Macaca mulatta: one gene and its partners. Each later gene encodes a partner of the first gene's protein in a complex. Links are inferred from orthologs where the notes say so. Each region holds a gene or a part of one and is shown in the gene's direction. Other genes may lie near its edges.

What was found.
Region 2: the proteins of LMNA (region 1) and ZMPSTE24 are in contact, whole or in part, in a crystal structure (PDB 2YPT), measured with the Homo sapiens proteins. The link is inferred for Macaca mulatta from reciprocal best matches to the Homo sapiens genes LMNA and ZMPSTE24. Residues at the interface, in NP_001393912.1 of Homo sapiens: Cys661, Ser662, Ile663, Met664; in NP_005848.2 of Homo sapiens: Ser264, Asn265, Ala266, Tyr267, Phe268, Val332, His335, His339, Glu415, Leu438, Asn439, Asn442, His459, Arg465.
Region 3: the proteins of LMNA (region 1) and BANF1 are in contact, whole or in part, in a crystal structure (PDB 6GHD), measured with the Homo sapiens proteins. The link is inferred for Macaca mulatta from reciprocal best matches to the Homo sapiens genes LMNA and BANF1. Residues at the interface, in NP_001393912.1 of Homo sapiens: Ser431, Gln432, His433, Ala434, Arg435, Met540, Lys542; in NP_001137457.1 of Homo sapiens: Val11, Ala12, Glu13, Pro14, Glu83, Asp86, Ala87, Phe88.

The regions. Positions count from the first base shown.
Region 1 is NC_133406.1:110,815,703-110,820,054, reverse strand, and holds the start of LMNA (lamin), read left to right. Parts: upstream 1-1,500; 5' UTR 1,501-1,711; coding exon 1,712-2,067; intron 2,068-4,352.
Region 2 is NC_133406.1:200,487,275-200,490,917, reverse strand, and holds part of ZMPSTE24 (CAAX prenyl protease 1 homolog), read left to right. Parts: intron 1-696; coding exon 697-881; intron 882-3,643. UniProt on the Homo sapiens protein: Transmembrane metalloprotease whose catalytic activity is critical for processing lamin A/LMNA on the inner nuclear membrane and clearing clogged translocons on the endoplasmic reticulum.
Region 3 is NC_133419.1:8,414,558-8,418,163, reverse strand, and holds BANF1 (barrier-to-autointegration factor), read left to right. Parts: upstream 1-1,339; 5' UTR 1,340-1,345; coding exon of another isoform or gene 1,346-1,371; 5' UTR 1,372-1,428; exon of another isoform or gene 1,429-1,854; intron 1,855-2,090; coding exon of another isoform or gene 2,091-2,106; coding exon 2,107-2,229; intron 2,230-2,481; coding exon 2,482-2,628; 3' UTR 2,629-2,994; downstream 2,995-3,606. UniProt on the Homo sapiens protein: Non-specific DNA-binding protein that plays key roles in mitotic nuclear reassembly, chromatin organization, DNA damage response, gene expression and intrinsic immunity against foreign DNA.

The DNA.
Region 1 (4,352 bases):
GGTGCCTATAATCCCAGCTACTCAGGAGGCTGAGGCAGGAGAATCTCTTGAACCCTGGAGGTGGAGGTTGCAATGAGCTGAGATCATGCCACTGCATTCCAGCCTGGGTGAGAGAGCAAGACTTCATCTCAAAAAAAAAAAAAAAAAAAAATAGAGGATGAGGTGGCTGATGGGACCAGAATAGGGGCCAGGATGAGGGGAGGGGAGTGGAAGGCTTATCAAAAGGGTCCTTGGTGAGGCCTGAGGATGGAGGCTCCAGAGCCTGAGCTAGCGAACCCTGGGGACCTGGGTGATCTCGTTTTGTGAGACAGCCTGGCCCCTCCCCAGAGCCAGCTGCAAAATGGACCTGGCCAGAGAGGAAAGTAGAGATGAATGTGGTGCTGGCCTTTGCAGCCAGCAAGGCTGTGGGGTCTTTGCTGTTCCTGCCCCCCACTACCTTCTTGCCCCCTACTACCTTCTTTCTGGCTGAAACCAGGATAGAGACCCAACGTTGGCTGTCCAGCCCCCAGCCCTGCTCCCCCTTTCAGGCCCCTCTGGGAACCACAGAAATCTGGGACCTAGTGTCCTGGCAACGTAATGAATGCACACACAGCTCTGGTATCTGTTTTAAATTATCCATTAAAATAAGTACAGTTCTGGGGGAAAAAAATTAAGTTGACTGGGTGGGGTAAGCAGTAGAAAGGGACTGAAGGGGGAAGGAACCCAAGCAGTGCTTGGGTCCAAAGGAAGGGGACAGGAGATGGAAGGGGGAAGTGCCTGGCTCCTATTCTTGGCCTTCTTTAGGGGACTGTGGCTTGTTGCTTGGGTCTAAAAACGAATACTTGGTTTTGAAGGGAGATATATTGGGGCAAAAGAAAGCAAAAAAGGGACCCCCAAACTCCTTGATCCCTGGCCCCAAATTGGGGGCATAAAGGAACTCAGGTTCCAGAACTTTGTTCCCCCCAGGGAACCCAGGCATTCCTTCTCCACCCCACTCCTGGCACACTGAGATGCAGCTCTGAATGGGCTGCCCACGTGTGGAGGGGGGGTTGGGGTGACTCACTATTACTACTGGGAGGACAGGGGGAGCCAGTGGTGGAAGAAGGGTGAGTCACACTGATGGGCACCAGCCTCAGCCCTCCCCCCACTTTCCTGGCTCCCAGCCCTGCCTGCCTGACCCTCTCCCTTGCTTTGCACCCACTTCCCTCTCTTTCTCCCCCACCCTTTTGCCCACCCACTCTCCCTCCTTGGCTCTGCCCTCTAGCCCAGAAGGTCTGAGGCAATGGGGGCAAGCTTGGAGCCGGCAGTACTGAGCAGCCAAGAGAGGGGAAGCTTAAGCCTCACGCAGTTAGGGGTGCGCTGGAGAGGGTGGGGCTCGACTCCGCCACACCCCAACGGTCTTTCCCCCTCCTCACCACTCCTGCCCCCACCCCCATGGATCTGGGACTGCCCCTTTAAGAGCAGTGGCCACTCCTCCCTTCAGACGAGGACCTATTAGAGCCTTTGCCCCGGCGTCGGTGACTCAGTGTTCGCGGGAGCGCAGCACCTACACCAGCCAACCCAGATCCCGAGGTCCAACAGCGCCCGGCCCAGATCCCCACGCCTGCCAGTAGCAAGCCGAGAGCCAGCCGGCCGGCGCACTCCGACTCCGAGCAGTCTCCGTCCTTCTGCCCGAGCCCCGAGCCCTTTCCGGGACCCCTGCCCCGCGGGCAGCGCTGCCAACCTGCCGGCCATGGAGACCCCGTCCCAGCGGCGCGCCACCCGCAGCGGGGCGCAGGCCAGTTCCACTCCGCTGTCGCCCACCCGCATCACCCGGCTGCAGGAGAAGGAGGACCTGCAGGAGCTCAATGATCGCTTGGCGGTCTACATCGACCGTGTTCGCTCGCTGGAAACGGAGAACGCAGGGCTGCGCCTTCGCATCACCGAGTCTGAAGAGGTGGTCAGCCGCGAGGTGTCCGGCATCAAGGCCGCCTACGAGGCCGAGCTCGGGGATGCCCGCAAGACCCTCGACTCAGTGGCCAAGGAGCGTGCCCGCCTGCAGCTGGAGCTGAGCAAAGTGCGTGAGGAGTTTAAGGAGCTGAAAGCGCGGTGAGTTCGCCCAGGTGGCTGCGTGCCTGGCGGGGAGTGGAGAGGGCGGCTGGCCGGCGCCCCTGGCCGACTGCAGGAAGGGAGTGAGAGGGCCTGGAGGCCGATAACTTTGCCATAGTCTCCTCCCTTCCCGGAACTGCCCCCAGCGAGTGACTGGCAGTGTCAAGGGGAATTGTCAAGACAGGACAGAGAGGGAAGAGGTGGTCTCTGGGAGAGGGTGGGGGGGATATAAGGAATGGTGGGGGTATCAGGGACAAGTTAGGGCTGGGGCCTGCCCGAATTCGGTCAGATTGGGATTTGCCAGCTATTTGGAGCCTGCGGGAGGGGCTTAAGCAAAACAGAACTAGCCCTGCCAGCTCGAAGAACTCTGGGCACCCAGGACACATATGAGTAGCAGAAAGGGTCCTGTTAGAACTTTGTTGGCGGGCTTGGCACTGGTGCCAGCTTTGCCCAAGCTGGCTCTGAACACATGATGCCCACTAAGACATGACTCCCAAGCTGGCATCTGTCCAGCGTGTTGGAGAGAGGTGAGGAAGGCAGGGCAATCCCCCTTTTCCCTCCCGAGGGCTTGGCGGTGGCCCCCTCGGCATGACCTTGTCCGGGGTTCTAAGGGTTGGGAAGCTGTCCCTCACTCTGCCACTCTGCGTGTCTGGGACCTTCCTTGGGCTCTGACAGGCCCACCAAAAGAGCTCCCGGAGATGGGAGATCGGGAGATTGGCTCCCCCGCAGCTCCCACAGCCCTTGGCCTGCTTGGCCCAGGAATGCAAGGGAGGGAGGGAGGCAGAGGGCAGAGGCTCCCAGCTCAGGAAGTTGTGTTATGCCCAGGTCTGGCCGCACTCCTCCCTTGGCCCACTGCCTAGTGTCTTCGAGGGTTGGGGGCACTGTCCTTCCCTCCTTGGAGTGAGCCACTTCCATTTTCCCAGCCAGGCCAGGCAGTCTTTGCTCAGGCCCATCCTCTTAGCTGCTGACGTTTTGATCTTTGTCTTATTAAAGTGCTGGAATACAGTGACATTTTTGAAATCCAGCCGTTGGAAGCTTCAGGCCACTCCTACTTTACCCACCCCTGCCCCACCCTACCCCACCCTGCTCAACTCCACCTTCTTCTTTCCTAAAAAAGCCTTGGGAGCTTGGAAGTATAGGCCTTCCTCTTCCAGTCCCCCCAAAATTTGGTTCCCTTCTTCCTGCCTTCCCTTTCTCTATGCAGACCCAGGCTAAGAGCACTAACAGGGCTTGGAGAGCCATAAAGGGCTGTTGGCTTTGACTTCTTCTCTCCCTTTTATCAACTACTCCAAACTTCTGCTCTTCCCAAAACCCTTTGCTAGGTGTGGTGGGTGTGGCAGATCCATCGCCCTTTTTTTTTTTTGAAAATGGAGTTTCGCTTTTGTTGCCCAGGCTAGAGTGCAATGGCACAATCTCGGCTCACCGCAACCTCTGCCTCCCAGGTTCAAGCGATTCTCCTGCCTCAGCCTCCCAAGTAGCTGAGATTACAGGCATGTGCCACCATGCCGGGCTAATTTTGTATTTTTAGTAGAGAAGGGGTTTCTTCATGTTGGTCATGCTAGTCTTGAACTCCCAACCTCAGGTGATCCACCTACCTTGGCCTCCCAAAGTCCTAGGATTACAGGCGCGAGCCACCACGCCGGGCCCATAGCCCTTCTTTCTGAAGAGTCAGTGGAAGTTGTGTGTAGGAAAACAGGCTCAACCTTTTTTTCTTTCTTTCTTTTTTTTTTTTTTTGAGACAGGGTCTCACTCTGTTACCCAGACTGGAATGAAGTGGTGCGATCTTGGCTCACCGCAACCACCACCTCCCAGGCTCAAGAGATTCTCCTGCCTCAGCCTCCCGAGTAGCTGGGATTACAGGCGTGAGCCACCACACCCAGCTAATTTTTTTTTTTTTTTTTTTTTTTTTTGTATTTTTAGTAGAGACAGGGTTTCACCATGTTGACTAGACTGGTCTCAAACTCCTGCCTTCAAATGATCCACCCACCTCAGCCTCCCAGAGTGCTGGGATTACAGGCGTGAGCCACCATGCCCGGCCATCAACCTTTATTTTGTTTTTTTGAGACGGAGTCTCGCTTTGTTGTCCAGGCTGGAGTACAGTAGTGTGATCTCGGCTCACTGCAACCTCTGCCTCCTGGGTTCAAGCCATGCTTCTGCCTCAGCCTCCCAAGTAGCTGGGACAACAGGTGCCTGCCACCACACCCAGCTAAATTTTGTATTTTTAGTAGAGACGGTGTTTCACCAGGTTGGCCAGGGTGGTCTCAAACTCCTAACCTCAAGTCATC
Region 2 (3,643 bases), about 90 Mb from region 1:
TCACGAACTCCTGACTATAAGTGATCCGCCTGCCTCAGCCTCCCAAAGTGCTGGGATTACAGGTATGAGCCACAGTATCCGGCTGAATTTGCTTTTTGTCTAATATCATTTCCCTTATCTAAAATAAATATAAAATAAACAGCAAGTAATAAATCATTAGCAAAAAACAAAACGAGAAATGTGCATTAAAATGACATATAACATAACCATATTTAAGAATGTATTCCAATATCAAACAGCAAATTTCAACAATGCAAAAATCGCAATTACGTTTGCACCCATCTAATACATGTACACTTTTTCTTGACAATAATGGAACCTTATATATATGAAGTTTTGTATGCTTCACAATATATTGGTGAGCTTTTTCTTGTTAAAATTCTTTGGAAGTATAATTTTTTTCTGGCTGCTTAAAATTCTATTTTATAGTTTTACTATAATTGAATCATTCCATAACTGTTGGATGTTTAGGCTTTACTTATTTACTTATTGCTATAAAGCTGTGATGAGCACATTTATTGGCAAAAAACCAGACACTCTCCACTTCTGGTGGTGAATTATATTGATATGGTTTTTCTTCTATTAAACGATTTTAAAATGTTAATGTCCTTTCCAGTAATTAAATTTCTAGGAGTCTCTCCAAAGGACCCCAAACTTTTTAATTATATTCCATGCTTTGAACTGTCTTTTCCTTAGGATCTAAACGCTCTTCCCACAGCAATGCTTATTTTTATGGCTTCTTCAAGAACAAGCGAATAGTTTTGTTTGACACTCTACTAGAAGAGTACTCTGTACTAAACAAAGACATCCAGGAGGATTCTGGCATGGAACCCCGCAATGAGGAAGAAAGGAACAGTGAAGAAATAAAAGCTAAAGTTAAAGTGAGTTCTTTTTTCCTAAGAGACTCTACCTTAGTTTTTATACACAGTTCCTGTGACAACTCAAAATAACATCAATTTCTATGCAGTGAGTGTTGAATTCAGGGAGACTATCAAATAAAAAACCATGGCTCCTTTATAGTTCTGGTATTTAGGAGAGTTTACCACTATTATTACATGCTAACTACCTTGCAAGCTTTTATAGAATGTAGAGATTAAAATTGGAAGCTCTGTAAGAAAATTCATATGATTATAAGCTGTCTTTAAAACAGTAACTTGTGTGTGTGTGTGTGTGTGTGTGTGTATAAAATTTCTGATGTGTTTATGATCAAAGAATTCCCACAAGCAAGATAAAAAGATAAACATCTAATTTTTAGCTTTATTAAGACAGTAATTATAGGCTTTGGCAATGGAGAGACTTGGATTTGAATCCTGGTTCTGTCATTTAGTAGCTTTGTATCCTTGGATACATTATGTAATTTAGTCTGTTTTATTTGTTTAACACACATTTATGAAATGTATACTCTGTGCTGAGATACTTTGCTTGGCACTAGGTACACAAAAATCAAAAGGAATACCTTCTTCTTAAGCTTACAGTCCAAAGGGGAGCTAGTCATGCAATCACAGTACAATACGTTAATTGCTACTGTCAAGCTTTAGACTCTAGATATAGTGGGAGCACAAGAAAAGACATTTCTCGAATCTGACCTGAGAGTCTGAGAAAGCTGCTTCTGAATCCTTTTCCTGGATAAGACTGACTGATATTGATTAGCAGAATTTAAAATATCAAGACTAAATGGGGGAGAGGGGACAATGATAAGAAACAATACAAACTGTCAGAAACGGTCATCAGTATTTGTATGTGTGATGGAATGTGCCATTGCCTTTGGTGTCATACAGAGATGATTTTAGATCCCTGTTCACTCACCATCTGTGTAACTCTGTGCAAGTAAGTTAAGCTTTCATTTATCTATGTATTTATTTATTTTGAGATGAGGTCTCATTATGTTTCCCAGGCTTGTCGAACTCCTGGCCTCAAGTTACCCGCCTGCCTCGGCCTCCCAAAGTGCTGGGATTATAGGTGTGTGCCACTGCACCCGGCCAAGCTTTCTAAATCTTTGATTTCTTAACTGAAAGATGAGGCCAATAGGGTTTCTCAAGCTCCACACTATTTTTTGGGGACAGATAATGTTTTTGTTGTGGGAGGCATCTTGCGCATCATAGGATGTTTAGCAGCATCCCTGGTCTCTCGCCACTAGGGGCCATTTCCCCCCCACAACCTCCAAAAATTGTGACAATGTCTCAGAATATTGCCAGATGTCCCCTAAAGGTTCAGGTGGGGTCAGGTCTCCCCTGGTTGAGAAATACAAGGCTAAAGATGCCTACATTTTAGGATTTTGAAGATTAAATCAAATAATATGTGTGAAATACCTTGTACTGTCTATCAAAATGTAGAGAGTACCAGAAAATGATTAGCATCTGAGCATCTGTTTTGACCCTAAAAACAGGTTCTAGTAAAGTACCTAGCCTATTATAAATATGTAGAGGAAATAAAATTCTGTGAAGGGATTAGAAGACATATTAAGGTCATCTTATAGATAGGAAAACTGAAGTCCAGAAAGAATAACCCAGTGATAGCACTAGAGAATCATGCAAGTTTAGAAAGTTAATCTGCTTATGGTCGGGCGCTGTGGCTCATACCTGTAATCCCAGCACTTTGGAAGGCCAAAACAGGTGGACCACTTGATGTCAGGAGTTAGAGACCAGCCTAGCCCACATGGTGAAACCCCATCTCCACTAAAAATACAAAAATTAGCCGGGCATCGCGTGCCTGTAGTCCCAGCTACTCCAGAGGCTGAGGTGGGAGAATCGCTTGAACCCAGGAGGCAGAGGCTGCAGTGAGCTGAGATTGTGCCACTGCACTCCAGCCTGGGTGACAGAGTGAGACTCTGTCTCAAAAAAAAGAAAGTTAACCTGCTTAAGAGGCATCTTAAGCATTGTCTAAACCTGGTAATGTTAAGTAATGTCTAAACCTAGACATTAGCTAATGGTGCACTGATTACAAGCAAAGTACAGAGATAACAGACGTTTAATGTCTATGAGAATAGTTTTCTTTGGCTACAAAAACAATTGAGTGGTCCTTTGAAGTATGTTGAATGGGATTTGACTTATTTTGCTGGCTGCTTTAGAGGCCCGCAGCTGGGTGTGGTGGCTCACACCTGTAATCCCAGCACTTTGGGAGGCTGGGGTTAGAGGATTGCTGGAGGCCAGGAGTTTGAGACCAGCCTGAGCAACATGGTGAGACTTCATCTTCTCAAAAAATAAAAAAATAGCTGGGCGTGGTGATGCCCACCTGTAGTTCTAGCCACTCGGGAGGCTGAGATGGGAGAATCACTGGAGTTCAGGAGGTTAAGGCTGCGGTGAGCTGTGTTTGCTCCACTGCACTTCAATCTGGGCAACAGAGCGAGACCATGTCTTCAAAACAAACAAAAAGAGCCTGCTTTGCTTCATTGGTTAACTACAAATATTTTACTGTCTAAATACATATTACATGACAAGATACAACAGACATAGTTTTACCCTAAAGAACCTACAGTAGAGGAGACAAATAGCCTAGAGTTTAAGGCAGGGCATGGTAAATGTCATGAGTAGCAGCTGATATAGTGTGGCTTTCAGAAATGGAGATATTGATGCAGATTCTAATGGTCAGCAAGTTTCTTAGAAGTGAGGCTATTTGAAGTAGGTAGAAGTTTGACTTGGGGCTG
Region 3 (3,606 bases), on another chromosome or scaffold:
AGCACTGTTACAGAATGGGACAACAGTGCATGTCATGTAAAAGTAACTCCGGCAGGGAGCTGTGGCTCACGCCTGTAATCCCAGCACTTTGGGAGGCCGAGGCGGGCGAATCACGAGGTCAAGAGATCCAGACCATCCTAACACGGTGAAACCTCGTCTCCACTAAAAATACAAAAACTTAGCCGGGCGTGGTGGCGGGCGCCAGCTACTTGGGAGGCTGAGGCAGGAGAATGGCGTGAACCCGGGAGGCGGAGCTTAGAGTGAGCCGAGATCGTGCCACTGCACTCCAGCCTGGGCAACAGAGAGAGACTCGGTCTCAAAAAAAAAAAAAAAAAAAAAAAGTAACTTCTACAATCTTAGGTACTGGTGTAATGTAAAACTATAGGAAAGTTCCAGATAAATCATCCTGGCAACCTCTCTGGAAGGAGTTTGAAATAAACCGTATCTTTCTCAACACGCTTGTACACCCCAAGTCTGGCACAGTCACACAACAGAGAAGTTCAGTCTGGCAACACACTACAGCCGGAGACAAATTAGGTGGCCACCGTGATGGTCCAAGCCAGGAACTAGTTAATTAAAGGTTGAGGTGAGCAGGCTTGTCTGCGACATCTGCATTTTTCTGACTTGCGTACTTAGAAGACGAGGACCAGCACCCTTAAGACTGATGGTTTCCGAAGGAAACACTGTCATCTCTAGTTGCCGTTCTCCTTCCTCCTCCCTGTCTATCCCGGAGAAAAGACCCTCAGAGAAACACCCACACTCAGTCTCTGGCCCTGGGCTCCCAGGAACGCTGCCGGAGCAACCCCGCTGTCCAGGCTGGACGCTGAGAGAGGATCGTCCACGACTCACTTCAAGGCTGAGCCAAGAAAACACAGTAAAGGAACTTGCCGGCGGCCGCGACGGTAGCGTCACCTCGAAATCAGGTCTCCAGCGTTCCCAGTTCCCACCAGTCCCACTGCGAGGAGTGCGACGTGAGTCTGAGTCGGATCCCTCCGAAAACCGTCTTCCGGCGCTGTCTCAGAGGCCTCCCGGCCACCCGTCCCCTCCCTTGTCCGTCTTCTAACTCTTCCCTACGCCAGGTCGGTCAAGCCTAAGTCCTTGAGTTCCGGGTCCGGGCAGCACAGAAAGGAAGTTCTCTCCCTGTAGGCCTCTCTCCCTCAGAACTGCTCGAGGAGCGAGACCTCAGAAGACAGGGCTTCCCGCGAAGAACCGGAAAGGAGCGCCTACTAAGGACGCCGTCGAGGTCCGTGGCGCCTCAACTCTATAGCTCTAACTGGCTAGAAGGGCCCAACGTGGAAGGTTTTTTTTTTTTTTAAAAGGCGGCTGAGGCGACCCGGAAGCGGAAATGGAAGAAAGTTCTAGTGGCTTGACGTATCCGCGGGAGCAGCAGGGTGGCGGGAGGAACCGTTACGGGAACTGAAGCTGCCGGTGAGCGCGAGCCGCGGAGCAGGGCCCTGGCTGGAGGCCAGAGGGATTGCGGGGAGAAGGGGAGGAGAGGGGCCGCAGGCGCTGTGGCGGGCCCTGGGGGAGAGTTTGGCCGCGCTGCGGGGAGGGGGCGGGGTGCGGCGCGTGGAAGCCGGGCCGCGGGAGGGGGCGGGCCGCGGCTGCGCGCGATGGGGGCGGAGCTGGGGTGCGGCGTGTGCCCCGTGGACGCGTAGCGGGTGTGCGCAGCGCTCGGTGTGCGCTTCGCCCTGTAGGTAGAGACTCTGGTTAGCTTTCCACGCCAAGTGGCTGTTCCAGGCAGTCAGTACCTTCTTGGCTCAGCCAAGGTCACAGAGGGAGTGACAGCTTCCGGGCAGCCCTGGCTACTGACTCTGGGAATCTTCCCACTGCCCCGCTTGCGCCACCTGTTAGGCAAGATTGTTTTTCTTCTGGGGCAAGATCAAAATCCAGGTCCTGCAGGAAGAAACTCCTTTTCAGAATAGTAGGGAAGAGTCTCCCTGGATCTCGGTTTTCTCCTTTCAGGATGAGGGGGATAGAGCAAGCCACCGGAATCCCTGGCTTGGCTGCCTCTTACTGTGAGATTGCTAGTGGGCTCTTAGGAGTTCCAGGTCTTCAGCCCTAATCTGCCTTTCTTTTGGGATTCCTAGATTAAGCCTGATCAAGATGACAACCTCCCAAAAGCACCGAGACTTCGTGGCAGAGCCCATGGGGGAGAAGCCAGTGGGGAGCCTGGCTGGGATTGGTGAAGTCCTGGGCAAGAAGCTGGAGGAGAGGGGCTTTGACAAGGTGTGGGGTGGCCGCCTGTACCTGGTGCAGGCGGGGGTGGGAGGGAAGTGAGTCCATCTGCTAGGGGGTGGACAGTGGGGTATAATCTGAAGAGGCTGCCAGAGCCTGGGCACCTGGTGGAGAGGAGATGGGGGCAAAACCCACGCTGCTTCTTGGGCTTGTGTACTCTGAATGGCACAGGAATGGCCGCCTTGCTCTTATCCCTCACTGAACACTGAGCAGCACACCCCTTCCTTTTTCCCTGTTTTGCAGGCCTATGTTGTCCTTGGCCAGTTTCTGGTGCTAAAGAAAGATGAAGACCTCTTCCGGGAATGGCTGAAGGACACGTGTGGCGCCAACGCCAAGCAGTCCCGGGACTGCTTCGGATGCCTTCGAGAGTGGTGTGACGCCTTCTTGTGATGCTCTCTGGGAAGCTCTCAATCCCCAGCCCTCATCCAGAGTTTGCAGCCGAGTAGGGACTCCTCCCCTGCCCTCTACGAAGGAAAAGATTGCTATTGTCGTACTCACCTCCGATGTACTCCAGGGTCTTTTGGGAGTTTTCTCCCCTAACCATTTCAACTTTTTTGGATTCTCGCTCTTGCATGCCTCCCCCGCCCTTTTTCCCTTGCCAGTTCCCTGGTGACAGTTACCAGCTTTCCTGAATGGATTCCTGGCCCCGTCCCTCACCCCCCACCCTCACTTTCAGTCCGTTTGATACCATTTGGCTCCTTTTTGGGCAGAACAGTCACTGTCCTTGTAAAGTTTTTTAGATCAATAAAGTCAGTGGCTTTCATGACTGGGCTTTGTGCACTGAAAAACAAGTGGGCTGGGAGTTGCCTCTTCTCCAGGGACGGACCATGTCTCCCTCACTCCTTATCAGTAGAGACCGAAACTGGCAGCTTCCCTTCCACTCCCAGAGGGCAGTCATGCTAGCCATGTAGGCCTCAGGCAGGTGACTTGTGTCTCAATCCCCGAGTGATGTGGGAGAGGGTGTGGGTGGATCTTTTCCTGGGAGCCAGATGGACGGTGCTCCAGATGTTAGTTAAGTCAACAGCTGGGCTAGGCAACACCTGGTGGAAAAGTCAGTGGGAGTCAGAGGTACCAGACAGGGTGGGCCAGATGTGGGTGAGAGTTCACCTGCCAGTCAGCATATCATCTGCTCTCCTGGCCTCGGCAAGGGTGAGCAGGGCGCTTGCCATCTTCCATGATCTCTTAGGTAGGAGAAGGAGCACAGGCATCACAGCTGGAAGGATGTGAGGGGAGTACACCTCAGTACATTTTAGTCCTATTCTTTTTGTTTACTTTTTAACTTAATAGAGACGGCCCTTCTGTGTTGCCCAGGCTGGCCTTAAGCGATCCTTAAGCCTCTCAAAGCGCTATGACTATAGGTGTGAGCCA